Linked DNA regions of Mus musculus: region 1 is reported to be linked to region 2. Evidence: microRNA targets listed by miRTarBase, many of them from high-throughput screens and not tested one by one. Region 2 holds a microRNA gene; the other region holds the end of a gene's coding sequence.
What was found. Region 2 holds the annotated microRNA mmu-miR-143-5p (GGUGCAGUGCUGCAUCUCUGG, at 2,099-2,119, opposite strand). A microRNA usually pairs through its seed, bases 2 to 8, with sites in the 3' UTR of a target mRNA and lowers its output. Matches are read on the target gene's strand: a 7mer-m8 pairs with bases 2 to 8, a 7mer-A1 pairs with bases 2 to 7 and ends in A, and an 8mer does both.

Region 1: miRTarBase lists Dnmt3b as a target of mmu-miR-143-5p. The part of its 3' UTR that is shown has no 7-base or 8-base seed match.

What each region holds. Positions count from the first base shown.
Region 1 is chr2:153,686,032-153,692,185 of GRCm38, forward strand. Dnmt3b (DNA methyltransferase 3B) reads left to right here. Exons shown (of 23, transcript NM_001271744.1): 23 at 227-1,699. The coding sequence ends at 368. Among named protein-coding and RNA genes, the nearest start is that of Dnmt3b, 40 kb to the left of the region's middle.
Region 2 is chr18:61,647,135-61,653,398 of GRCm38, forward strand. Mir143 (microRNA 143) reads right to left here and starts at 2,124; the gene lies at 2,062-2,124. Carmn (cardiac mesoderm enhancer-associated non-coding RNA) reads right to left here. Exons shown (of 5, transcript NR_045402.1): 3 at 5,109-5,272; 4 at 2,773-3,016. Mir145a (microRNA 145a) reads right to left here and starts at 760; the gene lies at 691-760. It overlaps Bvht (braveheart long non-coding RNA), which reads left to right. Exons shown (of 3, transcript NR_045420.2): 3 at 70-351.

The DNA of each region.
Region 1 (6,154 bases), not on the chromosome of region 2:
GGAGAAAGCAGTGGGACTGGTAGTCTGGAAGGTTCCTTTGAGCCCAATAGTCCTGTCAGAAGGCATGGGGAAGGGTAGAGACATGGGGCAGATACAGTGGGCGTGTGGGGGGTGGGGGCTGGGGGCTGGTGGCTTTCCCAGACCTGGAACTCCAGAACACAGCTGTTGTTGGTGTCTTAGAGACATGGACCTTTCTAACCTCACATCTTTTCTCTCTATACTCCAGGATCTTCGGCTTCCCTGCTCACTACACGGACGTGTCCAACATGGGCCGCGGCGCCCGTCAGAAGCTGCTGGGCAGGTCCTGGAGTGTACCGGTCATCAGACACCTGTTTGCCCCCTTGAAGGACTACTTTGCCTGTGAATAGTTCTACCCAGGACTGGGGAGCTCTCGGTCAGAGCCAGTGCCCAGAGTCACCCCTCCCTGAAGGCACCTCACCTGTCCCCTTTTTAGCTCACCTGTGTGGGGCCTCACATCACTGTACCTCAGCTTTCTCCTGCTCAGTGGGAGCAGAGCCTCCTGGCCCTTGCAGGGGAGCCCCGGTGCTCCCTCCGTGTGCACAGCTCAGACCTGGCTGCTTAGAGTAGCCCGGCATGGTGCTCATGTTCTCTTACCCTGAAACTTTAAAACTTGAAGTAGGTAGTAAGATGGCTTTCTTTTACCCTCCTGAGTTTATCACTCAGAAGTGATGGCTAAGATACCAAAAAAACAAACAAAAACAGAAACAAAAAACAAAAAAAAAACCTCAACAGCTCTCTTAGTACTCAGGTTCATGCTGCAAAATCACTTGAGATTTTGTTTTTAAGTAACCCGTGCTCCACATTTGCTGGAGGATGCTATTGTGAATGTGGGCTCAGATGAGCAAGGTCAAGGGGCCAAAAAAAATTCCCCCTCTCCCCCCAGGAGTATTTGAAGATGATGTTTATGGTTTAAGTCTTCCTGGCACCTTCCCCTTGCTTTGGTACAAGGGCTGAAGTCCTGTTGGTCTTGTAGCATTTCCCAGGATGATGATGTCAGCAGGGATGACATCATCACCTTTAGGGCTTTTCCCTGGCAGGGGCCCATGTGGCTAGTCCTCACGAAGACTGGAGTAGAATGTTTGGAGCTCAGGAAGGGTGGGTGGAGTGGCCCTCTTCCAGGTGTGAGGGATACGAAGGAGGAAGCTTAGGGAAATCCATTCCCCACTCCCTCTTGCCAAATGAGGGGCCCAGTCCCCAACAGCTCAGGTCCCCAGAACCCCCTAGTTCCTCATGAGAAGCTAGGACCAGAAGCACATCGTTCCCCTTATCTGAGCAGTGTTTGGGGAACTACAGTGAAAACCTTCTGGAGATGTTAAAAGCTTTTTACCCCACGATAGATTGTGTTTTTAAGGGGTGCTTTTTTTAGGGGCATCACTGGAGATAAGAAAGCTGCATTTCAGAAATGCCATCGTAATGGTTTTTAAACACCTTTTACCTAATTACAGGTGCTATTTTATAGAAGCAGACAACACTTCTTTTTATGACTCTCAGACTTCTATTTTCATGTTACCATTTTTTTTGTAACTCGCAAGGTGTGGGCTTTTGTAACTTCACAGGTGTGGGGAGAGACTGCCTTGTTTCAACAGTTTGTCTCCACTGGTTTCTAATTTTTAGGTGCAAAGATGACAGATGCCCAGAGTTTACCTTTCTGGTTGATTAAAGTTGTATTTCTCTATAACGTGCTGTGTGTTTTTTATCTGCTGATGTGTACTGGCTTGAGGCCTGCTGCCATGTTTGTGAGCCACTGTCTTTACTCCCATAGTTCTCTAATACAGAACCAGGTGAGTTCCAGGCCAGCCTGGACAACATCGTGAGTAAAACAGTGACCTGCTGGATCCCATGGCCTTAACAGAAGGACAGTCATAACAAATAAACATGCTGACCTGTGTCGTTCTTGGTTAGTTACCAAGAATCATGAGACTTAGTGAGTAATTTAAGTTTAATTGTAAAAACTGTGACCTGTAGTCATTGGTTGGTAAACGTGGTCAATTATAACAATGCCACGGTTAGGTGTGTGAGGTGTAAGTGAAATGGTTCGCATCTTTGGCTTAGTTCTGCTTTTGTATAACATTATTGCCTGGGGATCCTATTCAAATCAAAACAAACCCAACCCCCAGGCTAAAGGGGTGGTTGAGTAGCTCATTGCTCTTCCAGAGACCAACGTTTGGTTACAGCACCCACAGAACCACCTCAGTTCCAGGGAAGCCATTGCCCTCTTCTGACTTCTGGAGTGACAGGTACCAGGCATACATGTTGTGTGCAGGTGTCCTTCAACAAACAAAAGAATTCTTGAAGAGGGCAGCATGAAGCAGAGTTAGGGTTTTTATTAAAAATGGAAAGATGCTCAAGAAAAATATCAAGAGAGCATACATACCAGTTTTTCAATAAAGACTCAGAAATGGAAAAATGGCTCAGTGGATTAAGGTACTTGGCGCTAAGCCTGATATCCTAACCCCAAGACCCACATGGTGGAAACAGGCTGACTCCATGCAAGAGATCCCCTGTCCTCCATATGAACCCTGGCACAAGTGTAGGTGGACACACATGTACATAATATATATATATACTGTATAAGAACTGGGGCTTGCTAACAGTTTCAGAGGTTTAGTCCATTATGGTAGGGACAGGGTGGCATGTGTGGTGCTGGATCAGAGCTGAGAGCTACATCCTGATCTGTACCTGAGAAAAGAGTGGGGAGCCTGGGCCTGGTGTGGACTTTTGAAACCTCAAAGCCCAACCCCAATGACAAGCTTCCTCAACAAGGTCACACTTCCTAATCTTTGGTCCTTTCATCAAACAGTTTTACTCTCTGGTGACTAAGCATTTGAGTTTTAAATGTTTAAAAGCCATACATAGATTTAAATAAGTCATCCAGATGGAGAGACTGTAAATGTATCTTCTGGTGAGATTCCTAGCAGATTGTAGGTTTATAGTTGGGAAGGGATAAAGGCCTTAAGCAAATTTTAACTGTCTTGGAATTCTAGATACACTTGAAGGACTCCAGGGTAAGGGACTCTTTCAGTCTTAAGGGATCTTTGGAAAGTCAGTTGTGTTGGATGGTGTTTTGCTAAGGCAAACATGTTTCACTGAAGCAGACACAGGAGAAACGATGCTCTGCTGAATCAAGACATGGAAGGTCACATGATGAAGGATTGTTTGCTAATGTACATATTGGTCCGCCTTGCATTGCCTAGTTGAGCTCTATTTGTTGAACCCCACAGAGAGAAACTCATTAAAAGACTTCTGGTAGTGTGCTGCAGTTTGTTGCCACCTCTTCAGACTGGCTGATTGGCAGAGTGATGTCAACTGAGACAAATGCACATGTTGAAACAAGACCCATGGAAGATGTGATGTTTTGAGGGAGAAGAAATAGATGGGACAGTGGAAGGCTGAGCTGAGCTTGCTGATAGAGCTAGCTGTGCAACACTTGTTGGTAGCTCTTGCGTCTACACTGATCACAGACTTCTGACAGCCCTCCTGGGTCCCTCCTGCTGATTTGTGCCCAGGTTAAGGCCTGGCTGTCTGCTAGGTAGTGCTATCCTGACTCTACAGACCTGTACTGCTAATATATCTGTGAAGTATTTGCGAGTGGATTGAGCTGCCACTGCTGACTCTTGTGAATTGAATAACACGGATAAGCTTTGACCAAAGAAAGAGCCATTTCCAAACAGGCCCACTTTCCCCATATCCTTCCTTTTCCACGCCCTCTGGTGGGTGGTGGGCTAAAAGGGAGGATAAAGCATTTAAGAACCATCATTAAAAATAAGAATTGAAAAAAAAGTAAAATGTTCCCATAATAGTTTCTTTGTATTTTTGTCCGAAGTCATCGGAATTGAATTTGTTGGGTCTTATTTGGGCCTGGGAATCACTGCACAAACCACTCAGAAACAGAACTCAGTCAAACGGGGTTGGTTTATTGAGTTTACACGCACGACAAGAGTGATTGATCAGGGAAGCAGTCCAGACTTGGGAACTGGCTGAGATGCCCAGCTAACATCGTATAGAGTGCCCTGGCTAACATTCATGTTTTAACCTGCCAACCAGGATGTAAATGTCTCTGTCAAGTAGGATGTCAATTTCCAGGGAGATCTTGGAAACTTAAACATTATTTGACCCCCTACTCAAAATGGCAGTTTTACTCTAAACGGCTTCTTATATTGGTGCAGGTGTCTTTCTTATATTGAGGGCCGTCCCAGGGGCAGCTAATAAAGGCAAGCAACCATAAAGGCTCATATCTAGCTAGGTGCAGGAGGGACTGCTGGGTGGTCGGTCCTGGTCCAAGCTTATTATGGCTAATTATACAAAGCAGTTCTCTCTCTCTGTCTCTCTCTCTTTCAGTTTTTTGAGACAGGGTTTCTCTGTATAGCCCTGGCTGGCTGTCCTGGAACTCACTCTGTAGACCAGGCTGTCCTCGAACTCAGAAATCCGCCTGCCTCTACCTCCCAAGTGCTGGGATTAAAGGGGTGCGCCACCACGCCTGGCTTTACAAAGCAGTTCTATCTGGCCTCTGTTGTGATTTGGTTTCTAAGGATACCAAAGCACAGAACATAATATGCAATCAAGTCGAGCCTGAGAAATTTTTCTAGTAACAGCACATGAGAAAGTTTCCTTGGCTATCTAGACAGATAAGAGTTACCCAGGCCTTAATAGACCTGTTTGTAGAACGTGGACAGAGGAGAGCAACTGAATTAGGCATAGTTTAGTCATGGGTACAGAACCTGTGTATTAGAGAATATAAGACAATGGCAGGAACTAATAGTATAGAGGGACAGTCACTGCAGCCAAGGCCAGCCCAACTCATGAACTATCCTTCAAACTTGGGGAGAAAACTTTTCCTTTTGAGACGAAGTCTCACTATGCAGCTCTGGCTCACCTGGATCTTGCTGTGTAGACCAAGCTGAACTCACTGTGATCGGCCTGCCTCTGCCTTCTATGTCCTGAACACAGGCACGAGCCACTATGCCCAGCTAAGAATTTTTTTTTTAAATATTAATTGCATTCTCTTTTTTAAATTTTTTTTTTAAGATTTATTTATTATATGTAAGTACACTGTAGTTGTCTTCAGATACACCAGAAGAGGGCATCAGATCTCATTACGGGTGGTTGTGAGCCACCATGTGGTTGCTGGGATTTGAACTTCGGACCTTCGGAAGAGCAGTTGGGTGCTCTTACCCACTGAGCCATCTCACCAGCCCTAAGAATTTTTTTTAATGAAGCAGGCTCATGCGTATCTGTACTGGCTAGTTTTGTGTCAACTTGACACAGCTGGAGTTATCACAGGAAAGGAGCTTCGGTTGAGGAAATGCCTCCATGAGATCCAACTGTAAGGCATTTTCTCAATTAGTGATCAAGGGGGAAAGGCCCCTTGTGGGTGGGACCATCTCAGAGCTGGTAGTCTTGGTTCTATAAGAAAGCAGGCTGAGCAAGCCAGGAGAGGCAAACCAGTAAAGAACATCCCTCCATGGCCTCTGCATCAGCTCCTGCTTCCTGACCTGCTTGAGTTCCAGTCCTGACTTCCTTGGTGATGAACAGCAGTATGGAAGTGTAAGCCGAATAAACCCTTTCCTCCCCAACTTGCTTCTTGGTCATGATGTTTGTGCAGGAATAGAAACCCTGACTAAGACAAATTGGTACCAGCAGAGTGGGGTATTCCTGTGACAACATGACCATGTTTTGGGGAGGACTGTGGAAGGACTTTGGAATTTTGGGCTTGAAGATCCATTTGTTGTTAAGAGCTCTGTCGGATGTTGTGTAGGAGCTTGGAAGATAATGTTGAGAACACTGCAGAAGATGGAGGTCTGGTTTGTGAAATTTCAGAGGGAAAATTAAAGACTCTTTTCAGGGCCATTGCTGTTTTGATTGTGAAGATTCTGTAGTTCTGGATAGCTGGGGCTGAAGAATCAGCTGTGATTAACAAGATACCAGAACTACCAAAGCAAAAACTTTGCATTACTGAGACTATTGATGCTGGTTAGCTGGAGCTAAGAAATTAGCGGTGATTAAGAAGAGACCAGCATCATTGAGGTGACATCTTCTGGGAAGTGTTTTCTGAAAGCACAAAGAGGCTGTGTTCCAGAGATGGCCAAGGTTGTACTCCTGCTGCAGCGGGACTTGGTAATATGTAAGGGTCACC
Region 2 (6,264 bases):
TTTTTCTTTTGTCTCAGACATTCAATTCCACGCTTGAAATCAACCCTGGCTCTGCCTTTTGCTTTCTAGGCGACCTGGCTCTTGTTTGGGCCTAAGGAAAAGCCGACTGTAAGCCGGGAAGCATCTCTGGCAAGAACAAGGAAGGATTAAGCACGTCTGTGGTTGTGCGCAGGGATCACAAGGTGCTCCTGCAGTGGGAAGAGCCACCACTAGGGGCGCTCCAAGTCTTGTATTTTCTACCTTGAAAACTCGTTTCCCTGTGGCTGCCCTCCAAATCCAACGGAGATGAATGGCTTTTAGTTTACCTAGCTGATTTAATAAACTTTAAAAATAAATGTACGAATGACTTTCTTAATAGTGTGGATGTGGGTCTGTGGCCCCTCCTCACCACAAGGTCTACAGGGAAGGCATGTGGAGGGTCAGAGTGGAGGGGAGCCGTCTCATAGTCTGGTTTTCAACCACTGTGTCTTGAGACGAGTTTCTCAAGAGTGAGGCAGTTCTGAGCTTCCCACATCCAGCCTCCCTCCTGGGGATGTTAGGAAATATGGACAGGGCGGAAAGAAAAGCTATACAAAGGTCAGAAGAGAGCTCCCAAGACCGCTTACCTCCGACGAACCGCCTCCTCCTCCCTACTCCCCGGAAGGAAATGCCAGGGTGGGAGGGAGACAGATCCAGCTGCTAAGCCATGACCTCAAGAACAGTATTTCCAGGAATCCCCATCTTAGCATCCAAGGGATTCCTGGGAAAACTGGACCGTGAGGACAAGGTGGGAGAGAGAGAGATGCCTTCAGCACGTGCCACGCCCCTAGGGACCAGCAGTTCTCTCGGCATCCACCGTGGGGCGCTGTATACACCCTCCTTCCCGGGATGCAGCGTCCTGCTCTGGGAAGAGCAACTAGAGCTTTGAGTGGCTTGGAAAGTACCTTCCCTAAGGTCAGGAAGCATTTGGGACCAGTCCTCCCTGCCTCCCTCCCCCCGCCATGGTCCACGGGGACTCTGGCCAGTGATTATTAAAAGTCCGTTCCCAGGCTCTAGTGACCTTCTCGCTGCGGTCCTCCAGCAGGTCACTTGGCCTCTGATCCTCGTACGATTGTAAAGTGGCATCAAATAGGACCCACTGGATGGGTCAGGAGCCAGCATGAAGGCAGCGAAGCCATGGACGCTTAGAAATATGTATGAATGGTCAGGGGCTGGTGAGATGGCTCAGCGATTAAGGGCACTGGCTGCTCTTCCAGAGGTCCTGAGTTCAAGTCCCAGCAGCCACCTGGTGGCTCAGAATCATCTATAAAGGGGTCTGATGCCCTCTTCTGGCATGCAGGAGTGTGTGGTTCTGTCTCTGCTGTTACTACAGCTGAGAGTAACCAAGACCAGGGTGGGGTTTGTTCTCTTCTACTCTCCTCTAGGAAGTGGGTCGCCTTCCTCAGACCAGGCTTGGGAGGTTAGCAACAAATGGATATACCCCAGTGACTCTCCTCTGTTGCCCCTTGCCTCTCTGAAGCCTCTGGGACAAGGGCAGACATTTGTGAGATGCCAGCCTGGCTCAGGCAGTAGCACAGAGGCAGGGTAGAGCTCAAAAAGTGAAGACTGTGACCTCAGGCCTAATGTCTGGCATTTCGTGGTTGCAACGTGACAGTGTCGTATCGTTGGGTTGCCGGGATCCTGAGCCTCTACTGGGGCTAAGGATTGTTAAGGACTGTCTGATTTACAGAGACGAAGGGGTTTCAACGCAGAACCATATACAATGGCTATTCACTATGCAGTGTTGAGAAGGGTTCCGAGGGTGTGTTGGAACCTCCCCAGAATGGGTAGATGTAGCGTCTTTGTTAGCAGTGTCTTCTCTAGGCTGAGGAAGTAGAGGCAGGGTGTTGGTGCTGGCAGCCCCTGAATGGACCAGAGCTTACTGTTGTAGAGGGCACAAGAGTGATCGGCCCTGGTACAGCTTGAGCCCAGGAACATCGCCACAAGCTGCTGGAGCAGAATCTAGGGACAACCTATCTAGTCCGCTATCCCATGCCAACACTTACCACGTCCCGGTGACGGCTGCAGGACATCTTCTCCCTTCCTGAGCTACAGTGCTTCATCTCAGACTCCCAACTGACCAGAGATGCAGCACTGCACCTCAGGCTGGGAGACAGGCGCTCCGCACGCAGGCCGCGCGGCTTTCTTCTTGGGCAGGAGGAGTGTGAGCATGCGCAGTGGTCTGCCTCCTATCCGGGTCTTGGCTTACCCTGGAGCCCTCTGGGACTGAAATTTCCACTTTCTTGTCCTTTTGTCGTTTTAAGTTAGCTTTCTTGTGATAGACCCACCCATTTCAAGCATGCAGTTAATTTTTTTTTTTTCAGTGCTAAAGATGGAACCCAGGGCCTGCCTGCTCAACCTGTGGCTCCCCTGTTTGTGCCCCGCCCCCCATCCGTCTCTTTATGCACGCAGCACAAATGACTGCTAGTGAGAAACTGTCTCTTCTTTAGTTCTCAGGACATCTCCTTTATGGGCTCGCCCATCCTTTGCACTCCTGTTTCTCCCTAGCTCTTGGGGTATCCTTTTCAACTATGGCCACTTTCCTTCGTAAGGAAAGGGAGTCTGCTGGCTTCCCTCAACCCCCGGATCAAGGCCGCCGTTGAACACTGCTTGAGTGGCTTGCAACCTACCTCATCCTCTGTGGCCTTGGAGCGGTTTATCTCTGGGTCACCCCAGCTTTCCTCTCCAGTTCCCTGAGGCCAGGGTTCATATATTATGATTTGGGGTCCCTAGAACCTGCCGATGACTTTGCATGTGACTACAGACAAAAGATGACACGTGGTGACCATCTTCTGTGGCCACGGCTTGTGTGGGAACTTCGGGGTGAACAGAACACCCCTGACCCCCAAACCACCTACTCACCCTGCTCTTGCTAAGACACCCCCCTCCCCCAGGGTCCCCAGATAACCTTTGCTTCGTGGTGACTGCGGTGGCCTTGGTGATGGATGATACATACCTTCAGGGTTTTCTGAAGAGGGTAGGCAGCCTTTCCTCAGGGCTGGAGAGAACAGAAAAAAAAAGTGCGCCTCCATTTTTAGAAACCCCTTTGCTCCTAGGCCTCCCAATAGGAATCTAGCTCCCTGAAGTTAGGGGTGAGGTGCAGGGGCAGTGGGAAAAGCTTCTTTGATTTGTTGTTAAGGCCAGGAAACTTCTGCCTTCAGGCACTCCCCAGCCAATTACCATCTTCCCTCTGTCTGGACTCCTCAGACACTTTCCACAGCCCTTTTACCAGGAGATCTGAATACAGGACTCTCTTGAGTCAGAATGTCTTCTCCAGGACATTCCCCCACAGCTCCCATGGACCCTGGGAGAGGTGGCACTGAAGTTGACCAAGGGACATTTCAGTAAGTAGCTAGGAGTGGTGGACACAGCCTAGCTGGGTTGCTAGGAGCCTTCCCCAGGGTCAGCTGTGCCCAAAGCCCTTTTGCCTCCATTGCTTTTGCTTTCTGGGGAAGCAGAGGGAGTGGAGATCTTTGGGAGTCATTTGGTGACATACCATTTGGGTCGTCCCCTGCCTCTTTGTCTGCCCTCCCCTCCCCCTTATTTTCCCTTTTGTCCTTTCATTTTAGAAACAGAGACACATGTAGACCAGGCTAGCCCCAAACTCATTCAGTGTATAGAACTGCTGATCCCCCTGCCTCTACTTCAGGAATTCTGAGATTACACGCATAAGCCACAATGCCTGTTGACCTGGAGCCCTGTGTGTGGGGAGGAAAGCCTAGCTGTTCTGCCTCTGACTTCTTCCTGAGGCCTGTTTATTTCAGGAAGGGGCTTCAGGTCGGTGTCTGACAAGCCACAGAAGCAGATGACAGTGTGGTACTGATGTTGCATCTTCATTATTATTATTGTTTAAAACTCTGGCTGGTGTTAGCTTTCCATTTATAACAAGTATTCCAACCTAGGTACATAAAAGGATTCCCCTTACTCTTTACAATAAAATTGCAGTGAAAAACAGGACATCCACTGATTAGGTTTGGGGCGGGACAGCAGAGCCTGCTCTACCTTCTGGTCAGCTTTTGTGGCTGGAAATGATCACCTTGGTTGGAGGACCAGGAATGGGGATAGGGCATTCTAGATTTGCAGTCAGCAACTCAGAAAGGGGAAATGAGAGCTGCTGCCATCCCACCTTGGGATAAAGGAGAACGTGGCAAAGATTTTACATCTTCTTGGCGGGACACGAGAACTAGACAGAAGGTGGTCCATCTTCCTTAAGGAGACATAAATGGCCAGACAGTATGGAGAGGGAGGCGTTCAGCCAGGAAAGGTCTTTGCCTCTTCTTCCTTGACCCATCCCTGGATAAAGACTGTCTCATTCTGTCCCTGTGATTCTAGAATAGTCAAGCTGGTGAACATTTAAATGCACATATCCCCATAGGTCTCCAAGACTCCAAGGAAATAGAATTTTCCCCGGGGTTGGAGTGTAAGGCACCATGCTGGGCCTGGCCCCTCACCTTCAACTCCATGCCTGACATCTCAGTTTCTTAGCTCTCTGGGTGTGCGACAGCTCATTCAGCAGATCCAGAACCATCTCTATGTGCTAAGGGAGTATGTCCCTGCACTGCAGCCTTAATACTGTCCTTGTCCTTGCAGGACACAGAGGCTGAGGGGGAAGGAAGGCACCGAGGAGGGCATGGGGGCAGACTCATCGGAACTCTAGAGAGCCCGTGGAAAGACTGCCAAGAGCTCGTGGCCAGGGAGGTTCCTTCCCCCCACCCCTTGAGTAGCTCAAAAGGCCTCCTGGAAGGGGTGGGGTGGGGACTGGGATGGTGGGAAGGAACAGTAGGACAGGAAGGAATGCCTTTTTTCTCTGGGCCCATGAACATACACGTCCTGGGCTGGTAGGCAGAGCTTGTCCGGACCCCTGGCTCCCTCAAATGTAGCCTCCCTGAGAAGAAGTATTTGAAGAAGCCTTTCATTCACCCCAAGAAAGGCTCCTTCGCCCTCCCTGAGCTGCCGTTTCGAAGATGAGAGAGGCTTAGAGAGCCAAGCTCTATCTCCAGAGAGCAGGGATATTTCTCACTGGGCCCCTTCATCTCCCGTTCTCCATTCTGTTAAAGCGGTGGCTGAACCAGGTGGACTCCAGATCTTACCTGGCACTCTTCTTGGTACTGGTTGTCAACAGCTTGAAGGCCTGCTGCCAGGGAGTAGCCCGCCTCGTCTCCTTTTCCCATGTCTTCAGAAGATGTCTCCAGGCAAGGGGATCTCTCCCTTCTGTCCGTTGGGAAGCTCCCGGGAGGGGTGAGAGGAGGGGACGCTGAAGGAGAAAATAAACAGTGGTTGTCTGGATAGTCTCGCCAGGCCTAGGCAGGACGCTCTGTGGCTCCTGCCCTTATATGGCAAGGCTGCTCTGAGCTAGGAACCCTGCCTGTCATTCCCACCTCAGGCACCACTCAGAGGACTGAGGGCCACCACTGGTCACCTGGGACGCTGCTAAGAAGGCGGACAAGACCTGGCACGCATGCTGGGAATCACCTATACACACCGAGCAGGCTTATCTTGGCTTTTGATTGGTGTAGCCGGTGGGAGGGATAATCAATGAGAATACGAAAAAGAATTCATCCTCAGCCAGCTTTGAGATGAGAGTAATCCGCTCCTCCATTTTGCAGAAGAGAAAACAGGCCCAGAGAGGCTAAGGACAACTACGCAACTGAACAGGAAATGAGGATTTAATTCAGGCTGTCTGGTATTGGGGCCTGGTATCTGACCTGGCGTTCTGAGTTGACTGCCTGGATGCAGCATAAAGGGGGAGGATTTGGCTATCACGTGTGCTCTGTAGAAAGTCGATTGTGTTGGAGGTTTGCCCCTGGGAAGCCAGGGAAGCCCCAGTGTTCTACAACACAGCCTCAGAGGAACAGTTCCTTAGACTGGGACAATAGGCTATTTACTGGTGTCTTCAGCATATGACACTGGGCCTGCTGCAGATTAGGGCCTCATAGAAGGGACGTGGGGAAGCACCTGGTCACAATTGCAGCGTGTTTTAAGGATCAGATGAAGCAACAGGTGGGAAAGCACAGAATATCTTTAAGATGGCTTTCCCCCTCCAAAGTGGCCTCTGGTGTCTCCCTATGCTGACGCTTCTAAATGAGCTGTTCCCACTCTGTCCAGCTATGGGACTCAGGGCCCAGGCCCTAGATTCTGATTGGAAACCTCAGACTCGGCCCAAGTCCCAGGCTAGCAGCAGGGACCGACCCGACCGTGGGAGAGGCTGTGGAGGGAGGCCCAAGCGGGTGGAGGGGGTGGGCTGCT